Drosophila melanogaster: one gene and its partner. The protein of the gene in region 1 interacts with the protein of each later gene in a pairwise test. Each region holds a gene or a part of one and is shown in the gene's direction. Other genes may lie near its edges. The genes, in order: CG3198 and tfc.

Region 1 (7,806 bases):
GGGAAAGAGGCTGCTAATTAGATTCTGGTAGAGATTGCGATCCTTGGACATCTCATAGATCTTGTGCCACTCGGCATCTGTCATCTGCTTCTTCATATCCTCGGCTGTCACCTCCGACATGGGCAGATCGGTGCCGCCAAAACGTGCTGTCGTTGCCTGAACACTGCAGGCAAGGAAGGCCATCCGATAGTTGAGCTCTCGCATGCCCAGTGCCTTTAGGCCAGTGACGCCATCCATGCCCTCGCCGGGCTTGTGGCGTGAACTGTTCTCCGCCCGTGTGCCCACTCCGGCCAGGACACTCACATCGGGCACCACAATCAGAGTGCCCGTGAAATCATAGCGATCGCCAGCCTGAACGGTCTCCACCAGCTCCGAGCGCAGGATAATCTCCACCGCGCGGGGAATACAGCCACGCGGCAGCTCGGCTTGCGTCTCCTGGATGCGAATCTTTTGAAAGTCCAAGAACAGACTCTTCTCCACATCCAGCATGAAACGCTTGCGATTGGAGCACACGGGATTGCGGCAAATGGTGGGATTGGTGAACTTGAACTGCTGCTCTACGTTCCGAATTTCCGTCTGGCAATCGAGGCACATGAAGACGCCGGAAACAAGCTCCGGATGTACGGGATGGGTGCGCACCACCTGGCCGGAGATGCGGATGAGGGTGCCGATTTTGGAGGTGGTCAGATCGCGAACCTTGTGACGCGTCGGCACCTCCGTGAAGGCCACATAGCAATCCTTCTGGGTCTTCAGTCCAATCCGGTCCTTAACGTAGTTCGAAACGGATTGGCAAAGGAACGGATAGATGTGGTAGTACTCCTCGATAATGGCGGTGGCCAGATTCTGATCGTATTTCTCCACATCCTCGAAGCTGACCTCCAGGGTGCAGCGATCCGGGGATTCCAAGCTGGCGGCTGGGCGCGTGTACTTGATCTCGCCATCCTCCTTGAATTCCTCGAGGAAATCCTGAAACAACTTCTGGGCCCGAATGCCCACCTCGTCTTTTACGCGCAGCTGGCCAACCTGAGCATCTGCCACATCCATTTTGGGTCACTTCTTGCTTCAAACTGGTGAATTGCGCGCTAAATTCCGAGATTGCTTTCGTTTCTTGCGAATGTTTACAGCTGCGTGCTTTGCTCGGTTTTGGCGCCTTTTTCTGACAGTTGCTTGGGGGTGGCAACGCTCGTGCGCAGGGATGCCAGCTATTCAAGAGCAAAGGTAAACATGTCTTACGGTCACATTAATTTATTAGTTCAAATATATATAAAAATATATATTTTTTTAATTGCTGAAAGCTTACTTAAATTTCTTGCCCTTGCTAATCAACAAGTAGTTTTCGAATTTTTTGAATAGATCAAATAGTCCAAAAGTTGATTGAGATACGTTGTTTTAATAACTTAATCGGATAACTTAATAATCCAAGAGATGAATGACATGAATTATAAGAATAATTTTATACGAGTAAAGTATTAAAACATTCAACTTAAGTTGTTTATTTTATGAACTTATAGAATTTAGTACGTTTTTAAGACCGATAGTTCGCCCACTCATGTCGCGGAACGCTGTGCACCGATAGGCTTATTCCGAAATAATCGATACCACGCGAATTTCGTGAAATAATTTTATTGATTCTATTTTGGCTAATTTTTTGGCTAAACAGCAGGAGCACAGCGTTGCACGTGTGTTCACCTGTTCGCCGGCACCGTTGTGGCCATAGAAGTCGGTGTGGTACCATTGGATTCATTTGATTCACTGGGACCACCGCCCCCTTCGGAGTTTTGTCCCCACAAATTGCGAAGGAGCCCCGGAAAATGGTGGACGCCGCCAGGCAGATGCTCGACGAGCTGATGGGCAGGAATCGCAACCTGCATCCCTCGGAGGCGGGCGCCAAGGTCAATTGGGAGGATCCGGAGGTGAGTACGCTCAGGATGTGGCGCGCCAAAGAGCCACCTCCAAAATAATGGGGGTTTTTTTTTTTGTCCGCAGTTCTGTCAGTTCTACAACGTTAAGTTCTGTCCGCACGATCTATTCATAAATACGCGCGCAGATCTGGGCCCCTGTGCCCGCATCCACGACGAGGAAGCCCGACATCTCTACGAGGATGCTCGACCCTCGCAGCGGAAGCGTCAGTACGAGGATGAATTCCTGCGCTTTTGCAATGTTATGCTGCACGATGTGGATCGAAAGATCCAGAAGGGAAAACAGCGTTTGCTGCTAATGCAAAGGGATCAGCCCAATGTACCGGCGCCACTGAGCAGGCACCAGGAGCAGCTTGCGAATCTGACGGCCCGGATCAATAAGCTGCTCTCTGAGGCAGAGGAAGCCGGCATTCGGGGTGACGTGGACCAGGCCCAAGATCTAATGACCGTGTGCGAGGAGCTCAAGGAGGAGAAGGAACAGTTGGTACAGCAATACGAGGCCCATCACAAGGCCATCAGCAGCATCAGCCTGACCAAGTCAGCGGAGGACGAGCTGCAGCATCACCCGCGCAGCAGTCCGGTCACAAATCCCAGCGAAGAAAGTCCAACTACTCCTCTTCCAGCCGCCACCACGCTAGATGAAGCGCCGGATGCAGCTCCAAGTTCCGCACAAGCAGCTGTCACAACGACTGACGATGCCGGTGAAGCAGCTGGTGCAGCCAGCGAGGACAAAACGTCAGAGAAGACGGATAGCAAGGCGGCTGGCTGGTCGCATGATGCCATGCCCGAGAAACAAATGAAGGTGTGCGAAATCTGTGGCGCTTTCCTGATAGTCGGCGATGCACAGCAGCGGATCGAGGACCATTTGATGGGTAAACAGCATCTGGGCTACTCCAAACTGCGCAACGCCGTCGCCGAGATCAACGAGGCGCGACAGAAGGAGCGCGAGCAGGAGGAACGACGTCGACGTGAGGGTCGAGTGCAGCGCTTCCACTCCTACGATAGCAGACGGTAAGGTCTCGACGAACCCTGTATCCTATCCTATATGCGCACCTGGCAAAAGATCACAAAACAAAAATAAGTTCGTTCTCAAAAAAAAAATAATTGGCAGAATGCCCTCAATGTGACGATGAGTAATGCTGTTCAATTACTTTCGAGTTTATTTCATTACTTGGTTACTGCACGAAACGAGAAAACTATGCGATGTCATGGTATCCTATAGACAATGTTTTAGTTAACGAACTATGATGATCTTATATCTAATGTGAGCATCTTCCATTCGTTTAATCCTTTAGCGAGCCACGCAGTGAGTACCGCGAGCGAAGTCGCGACTATGTTCAGAATCGCCAGCCCTCGGATCGACGTCACCGTAAGTTCTCACCCCCCCAAATTCGTTTTGCACTTGCACACGGCACTCGAACGTTTACTGAACTACTGTATTTCCATTCCAGATCACCATAAATCGCACCACAGCTCCCATCACTCGTATTCGCGCAGTGGCGGTGGTGGCGGCGGTGTAGGAGTTGGCGGCGGAGGAGGTGGTGGAAGCAGTCGGAGCAACCGGAGCCATCATAATCACAACCATAATCACTACCGCCATGACAGCCGCGAGCGACATTGCCGCAGCCGGAGTCGCAGTCGCTACTAGAGACCAAAAAAAAAAAAGAAAAAGAAAAAGAAAAGATAAACACAATAGAAACCAAGTGAATAGCAAACCAAGAACACAAGTAAATAATCCGAAAGTCCGGAGCACTTCCAGTTTCCAAAGCCCCATACCGCAAGTGTACAACAACTAAATATGATCAAGTTCAAAACGAACCCAATCTCTCGACCATCTGCGATCTTCAGTCTTCGTCTTATGTGGTTCGCAAATCAGCAATTCGCAATCCGTAAGCACCAGCTGCCGTGGCCACGGGCGGCAGCATCGAGGTATCCCAATAGAAAAAAAAAAATCATTAACACAATTTCCAAAAAAAAAAAAAAATTATAATAATAATATGTATCAGAAAACAGTTAGATAAAACAGTATCTGAGCTGGCAGTATCAATTGCGCTGAGGTGAGTCCAACACTTAATAAGCCCGTAAAAAAAAAGAATATATAACACTCGGGCGCCATTGTGCCCCTTCACATTCTGTAGACATACTCGTTTTCGTATCATTACTCTACTCTCGTATATACGATCTATATATCTGTGTACACACACACACACACACACACACGCGCGCGCGTGTCCCCTCAATATGTGTGTGTGTACCCAGTTGGGTTGAGATCCGGGCGAGGATTTCACCAAGGTCCACCAGTTCTTCGAAACGGACAGACGGACCTACGTCCTTTCGATCAAAAAATATGTTTAACTCTTTTAGTTTTTTTAGTCAAGCACCACAGGCACTTTTAACCTAACGTTGTAGTATTCAATTTTGTGCAGGATTATTTTTAAAGTTTGTACCTTCGACAGTTTTCTTTTTGCCCAATTAATATACTCAATGGTTATTTGGTTAAACAAATATTGAGGGAGTTGCAGAATGAATAGTGAAGTTTATGGTTTAGTCTTAAAATTAGTTAACTATGAAATATAAAAACAAGATTTCGCCAAGTGCTGCGTGAGTTTGACTTCTATATATTTATATATATATATATAAGCATAATGACCAAAAGATAGGCTGGGGATTAGGGCGATACGGAGCGTTCACTGGACGTTTCCCTTGCAATTGTGAGTGGGACATTGACTGAAACAGGTATTTACCAAGCCTTACTCTTATCTCTATGCGCTTAACTAACCCAACAGATACAGATTCGCATTCCCTGCCATACCCGCATTCCCCTCCGCACATCCAACTAATCAACCCATTCGCAAGACATAAGAACACAGACACATTATGAACCATAAAATACAAACCACAAACGATAAATGTATGTACATATTATATGGTAGTGTATCTATATAATGACTTTGAGTGACAATCGTACTGCATGTGATTTTGACTTGGCCACTGGGTTCACTGGGATGGGTTTCGAGTATTCCCGTGGAGGTATGTAGTCTTAGTGCCTTGTGAGCCGAAGAACGTCAGAAAGAGACGGACTGAGTGTGAGAGAAAGAGCGAGAGAGAGAGAGAGAGAGAGAGAGGAGCTTCTGATGTGAGACAGATTCCCAGGTACATTTGATAAATCGATGATAACTTAACCAAGCGATTAGCCCATTCCAAGGATTCAAGGATTCTTCTGAATTTTACAAATATCTAAGTACTTTCGCTTGCTCTATTTATGATATGATAATGATAATGAATGTATAAGAAACTTAGTCTTTGAGCCTTGGAAAGCTAAACTTGGAAAAGGATCATCGGCTTGTCGTGAAAACTCTACATATTGCAGTTATTTATTTATTTTTTTTTGTAATCCCTAACTCATTGTTGTGGTTTTCCGCCCCCTCCCATCCTTCCCCTGCACTATACTCTATTTTTTAAGCTTGAAAAAAAAAAACAAAAACAAAACTAACCCCAGCGAACTCTTCAAGTCAAGATTCCAAGACACCCACGAAAAATCACGAGGTAATTGAATTGCTAAATCGAATTAAATTCTAATCAATCAAATACAATATACAATGCAAAATGAAGAAGCACAAGCATAGGCAGTGATCAGAGGGAGACAGCAAACAGTGCAAAGACAGAGAGGGCGAGAGAGAGAGAGTTCGAGTCCCCAAACCCATACACATGTATGTATGTTCATGTTCCCCCCTCCTCTTCACCAACAGGTAAATTGCGACTGAACCCGACCCCATAAAAATTATGATACTGATATTTGATATCGATCTCGATTAAATCGAATTTTTGTGATGTGACGAGATAAGCCGTTGGCTAAATCTCCGTCCAAAACCAATCGAATATCCCGTAGCTGTATGTTTTGTACTGTTCGTGCCACACAATCTAAGATATATATAAACCCCACACTCAGATGAACTCTGAATACGTATACGTAATCAATCTATATACACGTTCAGCTCGAAATTAGTCTAAGATGCGCTATCCACCTTTAACTGCCCCGAACTTTTGTCTGGCTCACTTAACTTACACTTTCCTCTCTGCAAACGTATTCCAGAAGCCGCCAACCGAGGAAAGGAGCCCGAAAGTGTTGAAATAAATGCGAGGGATATATATATATATATATATATATACATATATATATGTGTATATATATGTATAGAGAAAGAGGAAGATATATATGGAAGATATGCATATGTCTATAGATAAAGAAGAAGAACCAACCAGGTAACTTCTATGCCACACCTCCACACATAAATGTTTCTTCACGACAGAGAAGGCGATATCCGAGATCCGAGATCCGTGAACCGCACTCCTCGATCCATAAAACGCAATCAGGAAATCAACGAACGATCACTTTTCAGTGATCAGAGAAAGACAGAGAGAGAGAGAGAGACAGAGTGCTAGAGAACGCTGAAAGAGACAGTGAGAGAGAGAGAGAGAGAGACACTCGTGTATAACTGTATTAGGCATAATACAAAACGAGGTGAATTTCCATTTCTCTCAACTACTTATAACTATATTATATACATATATCTATAACTATACCCATTACTTCCACCCATCCTTGGATCAAAATTAATATTGCATTGAAAACGCCGGGTTGTCAGTTAACGAAAAATACTATGGAGCAATTTGAACCGTACACATATATACATTATATATATATATGTATATGAATGTATGGTCGCTTTTGTTTTGTGTCCGCGCAGGATAAGCTCCTTTTTTCTATCCCTTTTCCTGCGAGGAACACACCTCTTCCCTGCCAGCATCCCAGATCCCATCCACTAACCCAACACTCCACATTTTTATTGTTTACCCACAATTACGTAGCAAATTAATCAATTGAATTGAGTTAGCATCGGGCAAACAGAGTTAAGGAACATTTACGAAGGCAGATTTAAGTATAATAGTGTAACCCAATCAATAAAACTTGATCGATCGTCTTTAGTCATGTAAAGATGTTTTTAATTACGAATTACGATATGAGTAAGGATAAACACATTCTATTGAGAGACTCGCAATAATTTTCTAATAAAGATCAAACTAAATCCCGAAAAAAAAAAACCAGCAATCCGTTGTTTTCTTTGCAATCATGATAAATGTAGTGACGAAGCGCACCAGCCAGCGGTAATGTAAAATCATGCGCGTTTGTTACTAGACTTTTCAGATTTTCAGCATGGACGATCGTGACAATGAAAATAAAATAGGTAATCGATCAAAAACGATTCGAAAAATGAAAAACAAAATTTTCTGTTGTTAATCTTTGCGTGCTAAAATAAAAAGAAAAAACTCTTCGTTTTCCATAACTTTCCATTTCAAAGACGTTTTCGTTTCAGTTGTAACAATATTGTGTTTGTTTATTCATTAATGTATGTATATGTAGATTTAATATATATTTAATATTAATAGTATTTATAAATTTCTTGTCGCTTTACTGTATGTATTTGCATTAAGTTTAATATCTACAACATCTATTTACGCACTTCAATGGATCAGGTGAACATATGCTGCTTACAGTGCGTTTCGGGACATTAAGGCAGTACATAGTATGTAAATATATATGCACTTGGGATGGCCGGCCATTCGTTTAGGAAAGCAATTTCACAACAGCCATTTTCGGATTGAGCAAAAATCGTACGACTGTTTTTACGGAGTCAACTTGCAAAAAAAAACAAACAGACAACAATTTACAATTAGCAGTTAAAATTAATTGAATAATACAGTAACTGTTTTCGAGCCTAAGGTAATATCAGTTGAACCTGAACAACACGTAAATGCAGAGCATAAATCGATGCTAACCTTTGCATACACCAATTACACTCATGAAACGCACTGTTGAAGCATACAC
Region 2 (5,292 bases), on another chromosome or scaffold:
CACAACATGGCCAAGAAGAGGGGAAGAAAGGGCAAGAAGGGCAAGAAGCCAAAGGTCGACTGCAAGTTCAAGATCACCAATGAGATGCTCAAGCCCATGAACGAGAGTAAGTACACGCGGATCCCTGCACCGAAGCTCGGGCTTAAGGATGATTCATCCCTTCCAATTGGTATCCTCAGATGTGGACGACTGTGATGGCTGCTGTCAGTGCGCCTGCGATTGCGACTGCAGTCCGGAGTTGGCTCCCTGCTTCATCCAGCCGACCAAGCCGGATCCGGGTCCGGAGGCGTACGACGAGTTCGAGGCCTGCCTCAATGGCAGCGGTCTGACCATACGCGTACTCAAGAACACCCACAAGGTGGAGAGCGTGATGGATGGCAGCGAGACTGCGCCCAATCTGGGCGCAGGCGATGATCCCTGCTATCGCGATGACCCCAATGACTGCGAGCCCGCAAAGGAGTCCTGCCTGCACGATATGCTCCAGCGCAGCTCCTTCGCTCGCAACCACATCAAGCGCCGGACCGGCGGCCGCATCATCAACCACCCGAACATCCCCAAGGTGCGAGCCAATATCAAGTACTCTGGGAACGATGCCTGCGAGACCGACAACTACTACGTGCCCTTCTCGAAGATCAAGGAGGCCTGCGACTTCCAGGAGGCCAAGGTCGACTGCTACCGCCAGCGACTCTGCGGCGGATCCGATCCCATCGTGCCCGCGCACTGTCCCGTCCAGAACCAGCGATCATGTTGCATGCAGGTCGAGCGGAAGGACATCATGGACACCATGAAGGGTGTCAATTTGGACACAAGGCGCAAGGGTATCGAGGTGAGTCCATCCTATATTCATTTGCGCAGCACTGAGTGGCCTAAGGAAATCCATATTTCAAGAATGTTCGATCTTAAATCATTAACCACAATCGCCGATCGCCTCCGCATTCCATTTTTTAAGTTCGCCAGTTACGTGTGCGGATGCGGAATGTGGATCGATTGGTAGTCCGTGACTTTGCCCCCCTAAACGTTGTTGCAGGTGGTGCAACTATGCCACTTCTGCCACTTCGGGAAGGCTTTCGATTGCCTCAATTGTGGGGCAGTTGCGTAACATCTGCCAGCTCCAAGTGTGGAGCACTCTTTTCAGTTTGCGGTGGCAATCCGCTACAGCTTTTTTATTTATGGTAATTTCTGCGAAAGATGCAACGCGTTGCATTGAGACTATTTTGGTTAGCTGTTGCATAGTATCTAAAAAGATTTGTCGCTTTTCTTATTTTTCAGGTTTGCTACAAGACCTGCGAGGAGACCGACAGCGACGTGTTCCTAGTAAAACTGGGAAGTAAGGCCAAGTCGCAGCACAAGAAGAATACCATCGAGATCGAGCTGCGGACGCCCAAGCAGCCCGTAACCCTTCCGATCAGCAAGGTGACCACGGAGACCTATGTTTCCGAGGAGATGCTAACCGGTGGCAAGAAGGGGAAGAAGGGCAAGAAGGGCAAGGGCAAGAAGGGCAAGGGCAAGAAGAAGAAGTAGACCAAGAGATCCGTAGGCGGATCCCATTCCCATCGACCGGACTTGACGCTTACCCTTTCGGAACACATCCTTTGGCATTTTGGAAGCGACTCTTTGAAAATTCACAGCAGCAATTATTGAAATTTGGCTCTGGTACTAACCCATTCATATTAACCCGTCCAGTAAGATGCACGAACACTCACTTTTTCGACTAGTTACGTAAATGTATGCTTTTGATTGAATTAAAATTAAGAAAAAAAAAAACAATAATTCTAGTCCCATTTATGATTAGTTGATCTGATCCCTCACTGATTGATCTGATGTAGATACCCTAACCCGCAGTAATCTGCTTGCAAGTGTATATGCCCATCTTCATTAAGGGCACTTAACTGCCCAGTCAAGGCCGCGGAGGTGTTTCATCTGCAATTGAGGCGGGTCTAAAAATAGCCGACAAAACCAATTCGCGATGCAGAACTCTGATGCCGATCCGATCCGATCCGACCATCTTCATCTATTGCACACCTGTAATTAAAAGCCAGAAATCTTCGCGGGAGGGAGCATCGAGGAGGAGGAAAAGCCGCCGTTGGATGCAGCGGCAGCTTAGCGGTTTGGTCACTTTGCAGTGACTATACTATACGGAGAGGGAGAGATCCGAGAGACCAGAGATCGCAGATCGGGCCAGCTGACCGATCCGATCGGTGGCTCGGAGAGGAGTCGAGCGAGGAACTCGTTTTAGTCGCGTTCAAACGCTTTAGTCTGTAAGTTAACACGGCGAGTGCGAACGCAGGAAAGAGTCGAGAAATCGTGAAGCAGTGCCCCAGCCTAGATGTTAACCATTCAGCGGATCGGCCCCGAATGTGAGCAACTTCTGAGATCGGTCCACGACAGACCACAAAACCAGTGAGGAGAGACCATCCGCTCCAGTTCGCTCGATCCAATTCAATTTCTGCCTCTCGCCGCGAAAGCGGAAAGAAAGTGAATTGAGTGGAGTAGATTTGGGCGATTACTTAATCCGCGTTCGCCTCCACGACCAGGCATCGGACGAACACCGGGCTCCCAGTCCGAATTCGAGGGCGCAAATTAATGGCCCTCGTTTAGAGACTCAACCCGCCCCATCCAGCGTTGACAGTTGGGCGGAGAAAAGCATAGTATTTGAATATTAAAAACTAAATCCGAGAGATACCACAACATTTCCCCAAAACTTTGATAATTTAGAAAGCGAAGCTGCATACCAAATAGGCCCCCGATCTAGAGACACCCGAAAGTCCAACCTCCGACGGTCAGTTGGCTTTCAGTTCCAGCTCGAGATCGCAGGTTATAGCATACCACAGCCGACTGGCTTTCCCCGGTTTTCGGTTACGTGCATCCGAGAGGTCTCCGCCAAGTGCAGTTGCAACTTTTACTGGTGTCTAAGATTCGCGTGAAGAGTGCAAATCGGTGATCATGATCCGCCCCACACTTATCGTAGTGCTCATCTCACTGGCCAGTGTCGATTCCGGCCACAACTCACCCGTGACCACCATCCCGGTGGCCGAGCCCATCAGCCAGGTGCCCCACGGCTTCCAACTCGGCCAAAACAATCACATCAGCAGCAGCAGCAACATTAGCCGGAGTGGAGGCGGAAATGGCCGTGATAAGAGAGGTAAGTACTTGGCCCCTTTGAGCCACTTTTCCAAGTGCCCCCATTGTGGCCATCCGTGTCAGGGTCGGAGCCTCTCGGTCTCTGTGATGGACATCTTCGAGGGGCCCTCTCGATTGGTTCGCAAATACTAACGATTGCTCTTGGCCGCACTGCTTTGAATCGAGCCTTTTCCTAATGTGGTCGATGTTGGTGGGCATTTCAAGGGTTCTGCGCTTAAGGAATGCCCCGTCAATCACGCGATTAAAAACATAAGTAACATATGAAGTTCTATGCAAAAATGCATTCGCCAAGGTTTATTTTGAAAATCTTTCAAATCGAGTTATTTGTTATTAATAGTACAGATCATAATAGAATTCATAATGAAAGAGAATCGGATTTGCATAAAATATCTCCACACATTTATCGCTACTTTTTCTGCATAATACTTAAAATTCGCTAGCTCATCGTGCGATTTTCACATATGTAGTACAACAAAAAAAAAGCAGATTTCGGCCAAAAACGTACTGGCTGTTATTAAAATGCTAATTGTGTTTCCCCTGCACCATTTGGCATTTAAATATTTTAGAATTCATAAGCATATGACTGCTGAGCAGCGAATCCCAATCAAATAGATTCACTCCGGAGTCCAACTTTTGCACCGGCTTAATCTATCTACTAATTTTAAATATATATGTATATATATAGTTTTTGTGGAGGTGCGTTCAATGCCCATCTTCTAGATGCATAAATGTTCACAAGAAATCCAGTTTAAATAATATTTTTCTCCACTTTTTTGCTGCGCTGCTTGACTTTGTTTTTTAATCGGAATGCCGGCGACCTCAGAATATTTAATAAAATGCTAAAAAGAAGAAAATACAGACGTAATCAAAAAAGACGTCAAACACTATAGTGTTATTATGCAAAAACATTATTATATTGATTTGTGACCAAAGTTCGGTGACATTTTGGCCAGAAAAGAAGCGTCAAGAAAACGAACACGTGCCCACAACCTTTCCCCCAAAAAAAGTGGCCAAAAGATTAATGGGTCCAAAGAAGTATGAAAACACGAGTTCAAAAACCTTTCGAATAATTACTGGGCATATTAAGCCAGTAAAGAATTTTAATTTGCATTGGAAATTCAATTCGCTCGTCGTGATGTTCAGAAATTAGCCGAAGTTGTCCAAAAATAAACAAATGATTACTAAATATGCAAATGCTTTTATAAAAATGTAAGAATGATCTCGTGATGGTATAGGCCTACCTACCACTTAAGAGGGCAATTTGTCACGATAAAAAATCTGATTGCTGTGTGAATTAAGTTTTTGAATACTCTTATTCATGCAGTAGTTTATGCAAATATTAAATACAATTTATATATTTTATCTATATATTTAAACTAAATTTTTGTTTCATTTTAATAACAACAACTTGTTGGCCAGCAATAAATGGTTACTTGGGCTCTGTTAGAGTATTCCCAAATGGCTGTGGATAAAATTACACATGTCAGCATTGAATAAATTAATCTTTCGGGCTTTGCAGCTTGACATTGAACCACGGCTGCCAACTTAACTAAATTATGATCTAATATATCAAAGTGTGTGTGCGTATGAAAGACCGATTCTTAGGCACCTTGAGTGCGTCAATCAAAGGGGTTTGACCACAACTTGAAACCTGAGCGCTGCGTAACGTATACGCCGCATTGGCTGCTCATGTAATTGCCCGAAATTAGAGATACAAGCCGATGGCGCAAGCCTTTGAAAAAGTATCTTTATGGAATGTGGAAGCTGGTCCGCAAACAGAGAAGCAGAAAAAACAATCGTTTAGCGAGCGGAATTGCGAAATCCTTTGTCTCAGGGCAACTCCTCGCAGTTAATTGACCTCTTTTCAGCCAAGCGGCAATTGCACGGCCCTCAAATAGTTGCAGTTGCAACTGCAGCCGCTCGTTGCAGCAGCGCGAGTCAGATACATTTTACGGTTCTTGGCCGCAGATTCAGATGCTGGTGGAAATGATTTACCGCTTTGATAGGTTTCGCCTCGTTTTTCACCCAAGGCAAGCCAACATCCTCAGCGAGTTGTCATGATTTATGTGGCCTGTGCGAACGACAATTAGCCGGTCCAAGTATCTGCTATATAGTTGTTGCCCGATATAGATACACATCGGCACGGAGACA

Evidence for each region.
Region 2: the proteins of CG3198 (region 1) and tfc interact in a two-hybrid assay, tested with the Drosophila melanogaster proteins (one large-scale study listed by BioGRID).

Annotation. Positions count from the first base shown.
Region 1 is NC_004354.4:6,667,744-6,675,549, reverse strand, and holds CG3198 (uncharacterized protein), read left to right. Parts: upstream 1-1,576; 5' UTR 1,577-1,811; coding exon 1,812-1,913; intron 1,914-1,986; coding exon 1,987-2,930; intron 2,931-3,214; coding exon 3,215-3,288; intron 3,289-3,370; coding exon 3,371-3,567; 3' UTR 3,568-7,011; downstream 7,012-7,806. Other genes in the region: Mcm6 (minichromosome maintenance 6), read right to left, coding at 1-1,044.
Region 2 is NT_037436.4:1,254,219-1,259,510, forward strand, and holds the start of tfc (triforce), read left to right. Parts: upstream 1-2,230; 5' UTR 2,231-2,943; coding exon 2,944-3,142; intron 3,143-5,292. Other genes in the region: CG9133 (uncharacterized protein), read left to right, coding at 7-106, 180-826, 1,270-1,521.